Sus scrofa: one gene and its partners. The main gene of each other region encodes a partner of the protein of the gene in region 3 in a complex. Links are inferred from orthologs where the notes say so. Each region holds a gene or a part of one and is shown on either strand. Other genes may lie near its edges.

Region 1 (3,647 bases), on a different chromosome or scaffold from region 3:
GAAAGAATAAATGTTTAGCAGAAAATAATTAGAATGGTCAGAGGTTTACATATTTGTGTACATGTAAAACAGGTACAAACCTGGATGATGCTGAGAATTTCATCATAAGTGCAGTGTTCTCCTTGGCAATTCACTAGGAAGTCATTGAGCTGGAGGATGCCAATCCCAAATACGCCCAGGGATGTGCTCTCCACCCCAGTGCCGTTTGTCACGATACTTGCAGCAGCAATGGCATCAGATATTTGCCTCTGGTTGTCAGACAGCTGCTGTTTACTCTTAATGAATAATCCCAAATCCGAGACATTTCTGGTCAACAAATCTGAAATAGAACCACCCACAGAACATGGACAAACTAGCTAGCATCTTTCATAAAGTTCATTTTGGATATAATGTTGCTATGGGATTACTAAGCTGGAGAGACCCTTCACTAATCTGTCTAAACAAGCCATCAAGCTTATTGCTTCTTCCTGTCTTCACAGAGTCAAAGAATAAAAAATGAATAAATGAAAAAAAAGAGACAAGAGCTAGATGAATGATCTTGAAAGACCATAACCTTTGGCATTAGATAGAAACTAAATGTAAATTCAATTAGGGACTTTAGGCTGAATTCAGGCTTTGGGTTTTTTTTTTCCTTCTTTTTAGGGCCACACCTGCGGCATATGGAAGTTCCCAGGCTAGGGGTCAAATCGGAGCTACAGCCGCTGGCCTATGCCACAGATACAGCAATGCCAGACCTGAGCTGCATCTGCGACCTACACCACAGATCACAGCAACACAGGATCCCCAACCCACTAAGAGAAGCCAGGGATCCAACCTGCACGCTCATGGATACTAGTCAGATTGTTTCCATTGAGCCACAATGAGAACTCCCAGGCTTTGGTTTTTGAGAATAACTACATCTACATTTTTATGTTTACAGAGATGGAAGACGTACCCTTAAGATTACAGTTTTTCTCTAATTTAAAAGCGTAACTGTAAACATTTGTGTGCAGGTATCTGTGGGAATATAAATTTTCAACTCATTTGAGAAAATACCAAGGAGTACCACTGCAGGATCATGTGGTAAGAGTGCTTTTAGTTTGAAAGAAATTAACAAATTTCCTTCCAAAGTGGCGATACCCTTTTACATTCCCACCAGTAATGCCACAGCCGCTCCACATCTGCACCCACTTTAGCACATGGCCATTCTAATTCTTGCCACTCTGAGGAAAGTCTGTCAGTTTCTTGCAGAACTAAGTATAGACTTATCATAAGATCTGGCAATTATGTTTCTAGGTGTTTATCCAAAAGAGCTGAAAACAGGTCCACACTAAAAAAACTGTACTCCTAGTATTTATAGCAGCTTTATTCACAATTGTTAAAACCTGGAAGCAATCAAGGTGTCCTTCGGTAGGTGAATGGATAAACAAACTATGATAATATACAATGAAATTGTAATGAAATATTATTAGGCAATAAAAATATATGATCTGTGAAGCCATGAGAAGACACTGAGGAACCTTAAATCCACATTGTTAAATGAAAGGAGCAAGTGTGAAAAGGCTGCATACTGTATGATTCCAACTATTTGTCATTCTGGGAAAGGCAAAACTATGGAGACAGAAAAGAGATCAGTGGTGGCCAGGGATTCAGAAGGAGAGTGGGCACAATGAACATATGAAACACAGAAGATTTTTCAGAAACTATTCTGTATGTATCTACTGCCATGGTAGATATATGTCATTATACTTTTGTCAAAACCCATAGAATGTACAACACAAACAGTGAACACTAATATAAATTATCAGCTTCAGTTAATTTATATATCACTATTGGCTAAACTGTAACAAATACACCACACTAATGCAAGCTACTACTAAACAGAGGAAACCACATGTGTGTGGAGAGAGTGTGTATGGGAGCTCTCTGCTCATTTTTCAGTAAACCTGAAATTGTCCTAAAAAAATAAAATCTATTTGTTTTTCAAAGAGTGTAACCACTTGACTAATCATAGTTATACACATTTATGACTAAAATTGAAAAAGGTTAATATTCTTAGCTAATGGATAATATGTTTTTAAATAGTTAAAAAGCAGATGTGTGAAAGAGAGCAGTTTTTCTTTTTTCTTTTCTACTGTTTACAGTTTCCAGCAAGAACAGAAGAAAAATAATAGGCTTCAAATGCATGGGTGGTGATGGTAATGGTGGTGGTGTGAGTGGGACACAGGAATTAGACATTCTGGTTGACATATTAGGAAAAATGTCCTGGATGGTCAGACAGTAGGGCTCTGCTGAGGTCACTAAACACTCTCCTGCAAAGGATGGACGGGCTGAGCACCCAGCTGCCTGGAGGCAGGGAAGAGACAGGTAGTTTGCAACTGGGATGTCCCACACACCTCCTGGACATTTGGGAATGGGTGGGAAAGGGTTTTTAGCTGTCAGAATAACTGGAAGGCTCTACTGGCTAAATATTCTGGAATCCATGGACAGATTCACACAATGATGAATTTCCTTGTCCAAAGTGCTAATAGTACATACTCATCTTCATAATACCACCGTTAGAGAAATAATTCTCTAAGCATTTCACCATGCTCCAGGCAGCAGTATCCCATGTGAGAGAGGCTAAGGAGTTGTGTGATAGGATCAATAACCTTCACTTTTTCCCTTTTATTTAATTTGTAATTAAAGTGTAGTTGATTTACAATGTTGCGTTAGTTTCACGTGTATAGCGAAGTGATTCAGCTATATACATATATCTATTCTTTTCCATTATAGGTTATTACAAGATATTGAATATGGTTTCCAGTGCTATACAATAGGCCCCTGTTGGTTTTATATTTTATATATAGTAGTGTGTATATGCTAATCCCCAACTCCTAATTTATCTCTCCCCTACCCCTTTTCTCCTTTGGAAACCCTAAGTTTGTTTTCTAGGTCTGTGAGTCTGTTTTGGTTTTGTAAATAGGTTCCCTTGTATTATTTAGATTTTAATTAATAATTAATTAATTAATTGTGGCTGCAGCATGTGGAAGTTCCCGGGTCAGGGATCGAACCCACGCCACAGCAGTGGCCTGAGCCACTGCAGTAACAATGCTGGATCCTTAACCCACTGCACCACAAAGGAACTCCTGTATCACTTTTTTTAGATTCCACATATAAGTGATATCATATGATATTTGTCTTTAATCTGTCTCTAACCTTCATTTTTAGATAGAATGTTCTCCAAAGGAATTATTAAACTGTCACACAAACCTAGATCAGGCTGAAGACCGCTGGTGTTTTCATCAATGGTCAGGTTGGTGTAGAGGGGGGCCGGCTCAGAGCCAGCTCGGTCGCAGGGCACGGCGTAGATGTCAAAGAGATCCTTCAGGTCCTTGCGGCTCCTCACACTGGACACAGGATGGAAAACATCTTTAGCATTGTTATAACAAGGTGAGGGTAGGAAGAGAAAAGCTAAGAAGAAAGCCAGCCATACCTGAATGATTTGAACAGCTCGACAAATTCCACAAAACTCATGTTGCTGTCTGAAACCATGAAGCTCTGAAAGCCCTTCATTCCTCCTTTGATCCGCCCATGCCAGCTGCTGCTGCTCCAGGCACTGCAACAAAGACATGGCCTTAATGGGTGGAACTGGGGCCAGGTATGTCATTCTGCCCCAAGAGATGGTC
Region 2 (3,647 bases), on a different chromosome or scaffold from region 3:
AGTTCCCATCATGGCACAACAGAAACAATATGACTAGGAATCATGAGGTTGCGACTTCAATCCCTGGCCTTGCTCAGTGAGTTACGGATGCAGCGTTGCCGTGAGCTGTGGTGTAGGTCACAGATGTGGCTCGGATCTGGCGTGGCTGTGGCTGTGGCAAAGGCCGGCAGCTGTAGCTCCGATTTGACCCCTAGCCTGGGAACCTCCAAATGCCACTGGTGGGGCCCTAAAAAGAAAAAAAAAAAAAAAAAAGAAAGAAAGAAAGAAAAAAAGAAAAGAAAGTACTATATCAAAAGCAGAAGTATCTTTTCTAATCTCACACCCAAGGTGGGACTTCCTACTAAAACCAGCCCTAACAAACATTCAGCTGTCTCCCTCCAATTCCCCATCTCCCTACAATTCCTCCAGCGACTTACACAGTCTTGGGCAGCGATACTCTTTGGCTGGTCTACTAAGGGATCTTTATCATGTCAGCCCGAAATCTGCCTCCAGGTAGTCTGTCACTCTGTGAAGATAACCCAAAACGATCCACTTCTCTCTACATGGTGACTGCTCAGAAACACAACATGCAACTTTCCCACCTATTCTTCCTCTATCTACTTCCTAATTCCTCTGCTGTCTACTTCCTTCTAATAAATCATTCCAGAGGCTTTCTTCATTCACAGTGGCAGAGATGGAGACATTGCTTAGAATTACTGTTAGCACAATACATGTATGTTCCCCATTAAACTTCTTCCAATATTATACATTATTCTGTAAGATTGTTTACTGATTTAAAGGTCAGAAAACACGACTAAAAGGCAATGTTTACCTGTATTTGAGCGTCTTCTAATACCAAAGTCCCAACTTGAGGTAATATCGACTGACTGGGCATATACATAGCCCTGAGTCTCACCATTGCTTCCCTGAATTTCTGACCCACTGTCTCCAGGCACTGAAGGAGGATGAATCTTCTCTAGGTCAACATCATGATCAATGAGAACCATCTCACACATTCCTGTGTCATCACTGGTCACATGTGACTGTCGAATATGAGCTAGAATGATAGTTGGATTGTCCAAGAAGGCCATCCTTTTTGTGGGCCAATTTTCTTAAAAGGCTATTTTCTCCTCTTCATATTGTTTCACAGGCTCACCTACCTAGAAACATGATGCACACAGCAACATTTAAGAATAAGGCAGAAAAGGACTGAATCATTTTTCAAACAAATTCAATGTGGTAAAATGCTACTTTGAAAATCAACATTTATCCCTGTATCTAGGAGCTTAAAAGGATTAAGTCTAAGCTGAAAGGAAATCCTTATAAGCACTAGAGGCTACTGCTCTAGTCAATGAGATCTCCAAGGTATGTTATCAGAGAGGATGGCTTGCTCTTTTACAAAACAAATAGCAGTAACTCCTTAGGCCACTCACAGCACATAACTACTGTGAAAACAATAAAATTTCCTTTCTTTCTCCCTTCATTCCCATGCAAACTCATTACTTTATAAGGTCATAGGGGAACAAGATGTATTTTCCTCAGATGACGTGTTAAAGCATAAAACTGTATGCCTTCAGTTTACATCTGCCCCTCCTGCCACATGGTTGTGAAATGTCTAAAAGGGCACAGACAATGCCTTCTGGATTACCAGGAATTTTACAAAAATGTACCACCGAAGTCATTTTGTCCAATAAATATATTTTCCTTTCTTCTGGTTTAAGAGAGTACTGTGCTTTTAAAATCAAACTTATTAATCAAACTTGTCTGCTACTAGATTAATTTCTTATTTTAGAAATCTAATTATAAGAACTGCTTCCTGAATCCTGTTAAAACTGTAATGATGTTTATTCTGGGAACAAAATGGTACCTCCTCAGTTAAATGGGAATACTCAGCAAAGATAATATTCCAAAAGCGTAGTTAAGAACCTAAGGCCTTTTAGGCAGAACTAGGTTCAAATCCTCGCCCTATCACTTGCTAACTATGCGATCTTGGTCAAAATAACCTTAACCTCATTGACCCTCTTTCTCTTTCTTCATTTATAAAACGAGGGTTGCAGGGATAAAAGGATATATATAAAATTATGCAGGTAAAATGCTCAAAAGAGTACCTGATTTAAAATTAGCTGCTATTAATAATGATGATAATTGTAAAAACATCATTACCAATTTCAGTTTTCAATACTTGTTTAAAGTAATCCTAAAATATATCAACAATTTATCCTTCTCTCATAAGTTCAGAGCAATAAAATAAGTGTGTGCTTCCTCTGTAACAGAGGACTCCGCAGGTCATCTGGGTCACCTCCCTCTTCCTCTAAAACCATTAGGAAGTGCAAGGAGTGGGAAAGCTGGACTGAATACATTCCTAGGAACAGTCCTAGAAGACAGCCATTTTTAGGAAGACCTAAAGCACCAGGTTTTCTTATTATTTGTTTCTTCTAGAAATGGAACATAGAGGGAAATCTAGCTAAAAAACCATTATAACTAACTGAGGTTTTAAAAATTTGTCTGGCAACATATCACTGTATTGACATCACTCGGGGGATCTTAAAGATACTGCAATTAAGAGGAAGTTTAGAAATTCCCGATGTGGCTCAGTGGTAACAAATCCGACTAATATCCATGAGGACACAGGTTCGACCTCTGGGCTCGCTCAGTGGGTTAAGGATGCGGCATTGCCATGAGCTGTAGTGTAGGTCGCAGATGCGGTTTGGATCTGGCATTGCTGTGGCTGTGGTGTAGGCTGGAAGCTGCAGCTCTGATTCTAACCCCTAGCCTGGGAACTTCCATATGCCGTGGGTGTGGCCCTAAAAAGACAAAAAAAAAAAAAAAAAAAAAAAATTTAACTGAGAAGCATCTCTAATCAAGGGAATTATATTAACCTTTTTTCCCTTAAATATTCACTAAGTGCTTATTTTACACTGAAGCTAATAGGAAATACAAAAGTGAATAAGGTTATGCCTGAGTCAAAAAGTTTATACCCTAATATAGACCTAGTATATCTCCTAACATTATCAGATTCTAAGTGTCAAAGTTCTGAGACACTTAGTCTCAGAAACATTAATGTCAGCCCACTACTTTAAGTGTTTTAATCAGAAAAAAAAACTACAGAAAAAAAGGGGAGCATGTAAGTTTCACTTGTAAAAATCAGAACTTCTTATACAAGCAGAAAGAGATGTAAACAACCATAGACAGTATGTGTTTTCTAACAGAACCAGAGAATCACAGATCAACAGAGTTACAAACATCTGGTAGCAATCACTATAAACATCTCTTATGCAAGTAAGGCAACTAGTCACCAGCAAAGGGGCAGGTATTTTCAACTTCATATTGATTAGTTCACCCTTGCAAAATCAAGGCCTTCGGTGAGAAATCACCCATTTAATGGATGCTCTGGCACCAAAAAGTCAAAGGGCAAAGCAGCAAAAGTATACTGGAGTATCTTGCACAGAATCTTTTTTGGGAAAATGGACCTGCTCCATCACCTCTTATGAAGAAAAGAGTTGGGGGCAAACACTTTTGAAGGCACTTACCCATTCCCTAAATATACGAATGACGGAAGCCCCCAAACACCGCACCACGTGCAGCTATCTTCTCTATTAGTACACTATGACCTCGTACAATGAGAAGTCTGTATGAATCACTCAACAAATCCTTCATCAGTATCAGTT
Region 3 (3,699 bases):
GCTTCTGCAGCGCTGGGACCTCCGGGTTTGGGGGAAGCTGCTTGGACAGGGAGTCTGCAAGGTCTGCCCAAATTGGGGGAAGCTGGTGATGAGGGATGGGGAAGAGGGGCCCTTCTCCGAGCGCCAGTCGCTACGTGAGTAGCCCCCCCCAACCCCCGGTAAAAACACTTGGCCAGATTCAATGCTCCGTGGGCTCAGACGCCCCCGTCAGGCCCTAGACGTAAGATTTGAGCTGAGACCAACGACCCCGCCGAAGCTGCCAGGCGTCCCGGGAGCGGTAGGAGCGCCTCCAGGAGCCACCTGCCCCTGCCCCTCCTCCCCGCAGCCGCTCCGATTTTCTACGGCCCCGGCTCCCCGCGTGTCTTCGGTGCTGACCTCGCGGGCTCCATCTTCCCTGAGGCTCGGCCCCCGGGCTGTCCCCTCCGCTCCCCGACCCCCTGCGGTGGGCTGCGCAGCGCAGGGAGAGCCTGGGGCGCGTGGGCGCACCCGTGAGCAACTTCGAGGGCCGAGGGGCCCGGTGCGGGGCTCGAGTTGGGCCCTGAGGACCCTGCCCCAGTCCGCAACGGGCCTCGACCCGCTTCTCCGCGGGATCTCTGTCTCCCTGAGGGCCCTGCTTATTCCTGGGAGAGTCCAGGCCGTCCACGGAGCAGCTTCCTCCCCCGGACCCCACAGCCGGCCCACCAAGACCCACAGGCCGCGGCCCACGCGGGCCACCAGGGCCGACACCGCCCTCCGCGCCGCTCCCGGAAGCCCCGCCCGGCCCGAGGCATCTGACAGGCGGGCCTCCCGGCCAATCGGGGCGGGGCGAAGAGGCTCTAGGGCGGGGCCCGGCAGGCGCAGCCAATGGCGGGCCGCGCCTGGTTGACGGACGGGGGCGAGGCGGGGCGTGCGCGGGCCCGGTCGAGAGTCCGCAGCCAGCTGCCGGAGCCGCACCCGCCGCGGACGGAGCCCATGCACTGGGCGAGCCGCGCGCCCTGGCCCCGGCCCCCGCCGCCGCCCCCGCCCCGGCCCCGGCCCCGGCCCCGGGGGCAGTCGCGCCAGTGAGCGGTGAGTGCGGCGGGGACCACGGGGGGCGGCGGGGGCCGGGCCGGACGGGGGCCCGCGGTTCTCGCTGGGCGCGCGGGCGCGCGGGGGCGCAGGTGAGCCGCGGGCGGCGGCGGGCGGGGCGCTGCGGCTGGGGCTGCAGGCGGCGGCTGGTACGCCCTGCCTCGCCCAGGCCAGCCCCTCCGACTCCAGGTCCCGGGCCCTGTCTTCTGGGGCCCCGCAAGCGCTCTCAGTCTGTTCTCTGACTGCTCCCCGAGCCGAGGCCCGCCCATGACCATGGCCCTGGGCAAAGTCTCTCCCCCTGCAGCGTTCCAAGGATCCCTGCGAAGAACTCGGGCACCCGGCGGCCATCACACACACCAGGCAAACCTAGAGTTTAGGAAGTCACTGCCCTCTGTCCCCGCAGGGTACCTACCCTGTCTAAACATCTCCAGCTGGGGCTGGGGGGCCTTGGCCCCAGGCCCTTTTTTTCCCTTCTCGCTTGTTCCCTTGTGCCACACAAGGTCTTTTCCTGTTGATCAGCTCCTGCTTCCTGGAGCCCTGGCCCCTGCCGGCCTCTTCACCTGCCTTGGTTTATGTTCCCCAAAGTTCTTATGCCGAGAGGGCGCCGCAGGTTTCCCTTTATTTTCACTTATGTGAGTCTGGCTTGGAGCGTGGCCTGAGCTTGTCGGTAGGGGTTCCTCCCGACTGCCTGTCACCCTGTGCCTGGAACAGCACCTGGCATGCAGTAGGCACTCAGTGAATACTTGTCAAATGCACCAGCATGCCCGGAGGGGCCTGGAGCTGGTTGTTGGCTGCCACAGGCCTGTCTGGGCATGCTGCCTGGCCCGCCACTGTGGCAAGACCTGTTCTCATGGGGGGCGCTTGTAACCTCAGCCCGCGGTGCCTCCAGTTCAGGCTTTTTGCCTATCCAGCACCTTCTAATTCGGGTGCGTGCCTGGGAGATGCTCCCTCCTGTCAGCCCTGCCTCTGGGGCCGGCTCCCTGCTTCTCTCCCGCAGTCATTAAGTGCAGCTGGAGGTGCCACAGGTGCGCCGCGGGGCCGCGGTTGTGGCTGCGACCCCTGTTACCTGGATGTACGGGCCCTGGGAGCTCAGCGGGCCTGTCTTGCATGGTCTGGCCACGCTGAATGCTGCTTCCTCCACTGCAGTCCTGTGCTGTGGCCTCCTGAGGAGCGATGACGGAGTATAAGCTGGTGGTGGTGGGCGCTGGAGGTGTGGGGAAGAGTGCCCTGACCATCCAGCTTATCCAGAACCACTTTGTGGATGAGTACGACCCCACCATAGAGGTGAGCCTCCAGCCCGCATCCCGATGTGGGCTTGTCTTCTGCCCGCTCTGCAGGACGGGTTCCCCTCGTCACAGGTCCTGGGCGGGCACGAGAGGAGCGCGGGAGGGGCTGGTGGTGTGAACAGCCCATCCCGGGCGGGCCAGAGGTCCCTAAGTGGTGTCCCCCCCTCAGGACTCCTACCGGAAGCAAGTGGTCATTGACGGGGAGACGTGCCTGCTGGACATCCTGGACACCGCGGGCCAGGAGGAGTACAGTGCCATGCGGGACCAGTACATGCGCACCGGGGAGGGCTTCCTCTGCGTGTTCGCCATCAACAACACCAAATCTTTCGAGGATATCCACCAGTACAGGTGAGCTGCCCGCGGGCCTCGCTTGGGGGCCCAGAGCACGCCGGCACCCTGCCCGCTGGCTCACACCTCCCCTTGCAGGGAGCAGATCAAGCGGGTGAAGGACTCGGACGACGTGCCCATGGTGCTGGTGGGGAACAAGTGTGACCTGGCCGCGCGCACCGTGGAGTCTCGGCAGGCCCAGGACCTCGCTCGCAGCTATGGCATCCCTTACATCGAGACCTCAGCCAAGACCCGACAGGTGAGCCGGAGCCCCGCCCCCAGCCGGCCAGGGCCCCGCCCCGCCCCGCCCGCAGCAGCGCTCACCGCCCCTCTCCCTCGACACAGGGCAGCCGCTCTGGCTCTGGCTCCGGCTCCGGGACCCTCTGGGACCCTCCGGGACCCCCGTGACCCAGCAGCCCCTCCTGCTGTAAGTGTCCCCGGATGGAAGGGGGGAGGTGGAGGTCCCCGGAGAGAGCTGCCCTGAGCCAGGCCGGAGCGGTGACCCTGGGGGCCCCCCCCGGGGGGGGCAGTCCCCTGTCGGCCCTGACCCCTTCGTGGGCTGTGGGGGAGCTGCTGAGGAAGAGGCCTCCTGACCGGTGGCCCTGGGGCCCCTGCTCCCCGAGTGTGGGCCAGGGGCGGGGCGGCGCCGCGGCGGGGCGGCCCTGAGCCCGCGCTCTCGTCCCAGGGGGTGGAGGACGCCTTCTACACGCTGGTGCGCGAGATCCGGCAGCACAAGGTGCGCAAGCTGAGCCCGCCCGACGAGGGCGGCCCCGGCTGCCTGAGCTGCAAGTGCCTGCTCTCCTGACACCGCCGCTGCCCCGTCTGCGGACCTTCTGCGGGGCCTCCATGCAGCTGGGCGCTGGGGCGCAGAGGTGGCGGATGCGGGGAGGAGGCGCACGCGGAGGAAGGAGGAAGGAGGAAGGAAGGAAGTGCCGCCGGCGCCCGGCCAGCCCCGGTCGGCGGCCACAGTGGCCGCAGGCCTCCCAGGACGCTTTGCACGGACTGTCGTGGACTGACGCCACTGGCACCCCAGCTGTCA

The links.
Region 1: the proteins of HRAS (region 3) and PLCE1 are in contact, whole or in part, in a crystal structure (PDB 2C5L), measured with the Homo sapiens proteins. The link is inferred for Sus scrofa from reciprocal best matches to the Homo sapiens genes HRAS and PLCE1. Residues at the interface, in NP_001123914.1 of Homo sapiens: Ile24, Gln25, His27, Val29, Glu31, Asp33, Ile36, Glu37, Asp38, Ser39, Tyr40, Arg41, Glu63, Tyr64; in NP_057425.3 of Homo sapiens: Phe2138, Pro2146, Glu2147, Gln2148, Pro2149, Arg2150, Thr2151, Val2152, Ile2153, Lys2154, Lys2171, Tyr2174, Ser2175.
Region 2: the proteins of HRAS (region 3) and MAPKAP1 are in contact, whole or in part, in a crystal structure (PDB 7VV8), measured with the Homo sapiens proteins. The link is inferred for Sus scrofa from reciprocal best matches to the Homo sapiens genes HRAS and MAPKAP1. Residues at the interface, in NP_001123914.1 of Homo sapiens: Gln25, Asp33, Ile36, Glu37, Asp38, Ser39, Tyr40, Arg41, Leu56, Glu63, Tyr64, Met67; in NP_001006618.1 of Homo sapiens: Glu277, Ser278, Phe280, Ala286, His287, Gly288, Phe289, Ser290, Leu291, Ile292, Gln293, Arg311, Arg312, Lys313.

Annotation. Positions count from the first base shown.
Region 1 is NC_010456.5:105,698,603-105,702,249, reverse strand, and holds part of PLCE1 (1-phosphatidylinositol 4,5-bisphosphate phosphodiesterase epsilon-1), read right to left. Parts: intron 3,578-3,647; coding exon 3,455-3,577; intron 3,369-3,454; coding exon 3,232-3,368; intron 320-3,231; coding exon 81-319; intron 1-80. UniProt on the Homo sapiens protein: The production of the second messenger molecules diacylglycerol (DAG) and inositol 1,4,5-trisphosphate (IP3) is mediated by activated phosphatidylinositol-specific phospholipase C enzymes.
Region 2 is NC_010443.5:266,311,566-266,315,212, forward strand, and holds part of MAPKAP1 (target of rapamycin complex 2 subunit MAPKAP1), read right to left. Parts: intron 1,140-3,647; 5' UTR 1,071-1,139; coding exon 812-1,070; intron 1-811. UniProt on the Homo sapiens protein: Component of the mechanistic target of rapamycin complex 2 (mTORC2), which transduces signals from growth factors to pathways involved in proliferation, cytoskeletal organization, lipogenesis and anabolic output.
Region 3 is NC_010444.4:299,732-303,430, reverse strand, and holds the start of HRAS (GTPase HRas), read left to right. Parts: upstream 1-891; 5' UTR 892-1,047; intron 1,048-2,193; 5' UTR 2,194-2,220; coding exon 2,221-2,331; intron 2,332-2,502; coding exon 2,503-2,681; intron 2,682-2,759; coding exon 2,760-2,919; intron 2,920-3,005; coding exon of another isoform or gene 3,006-3,068; exon of another isoform or gene 3,069-3,087; intron 3,088-3,345; coding exon 3,346-3,465; 3' UTR 3,466-3,699. UniProt on the Homo sapiens protein: Involved in the activation of Ras protein signal transduction. Ras proteins bind GDP/GTP and possess intrinsic GTPase activity.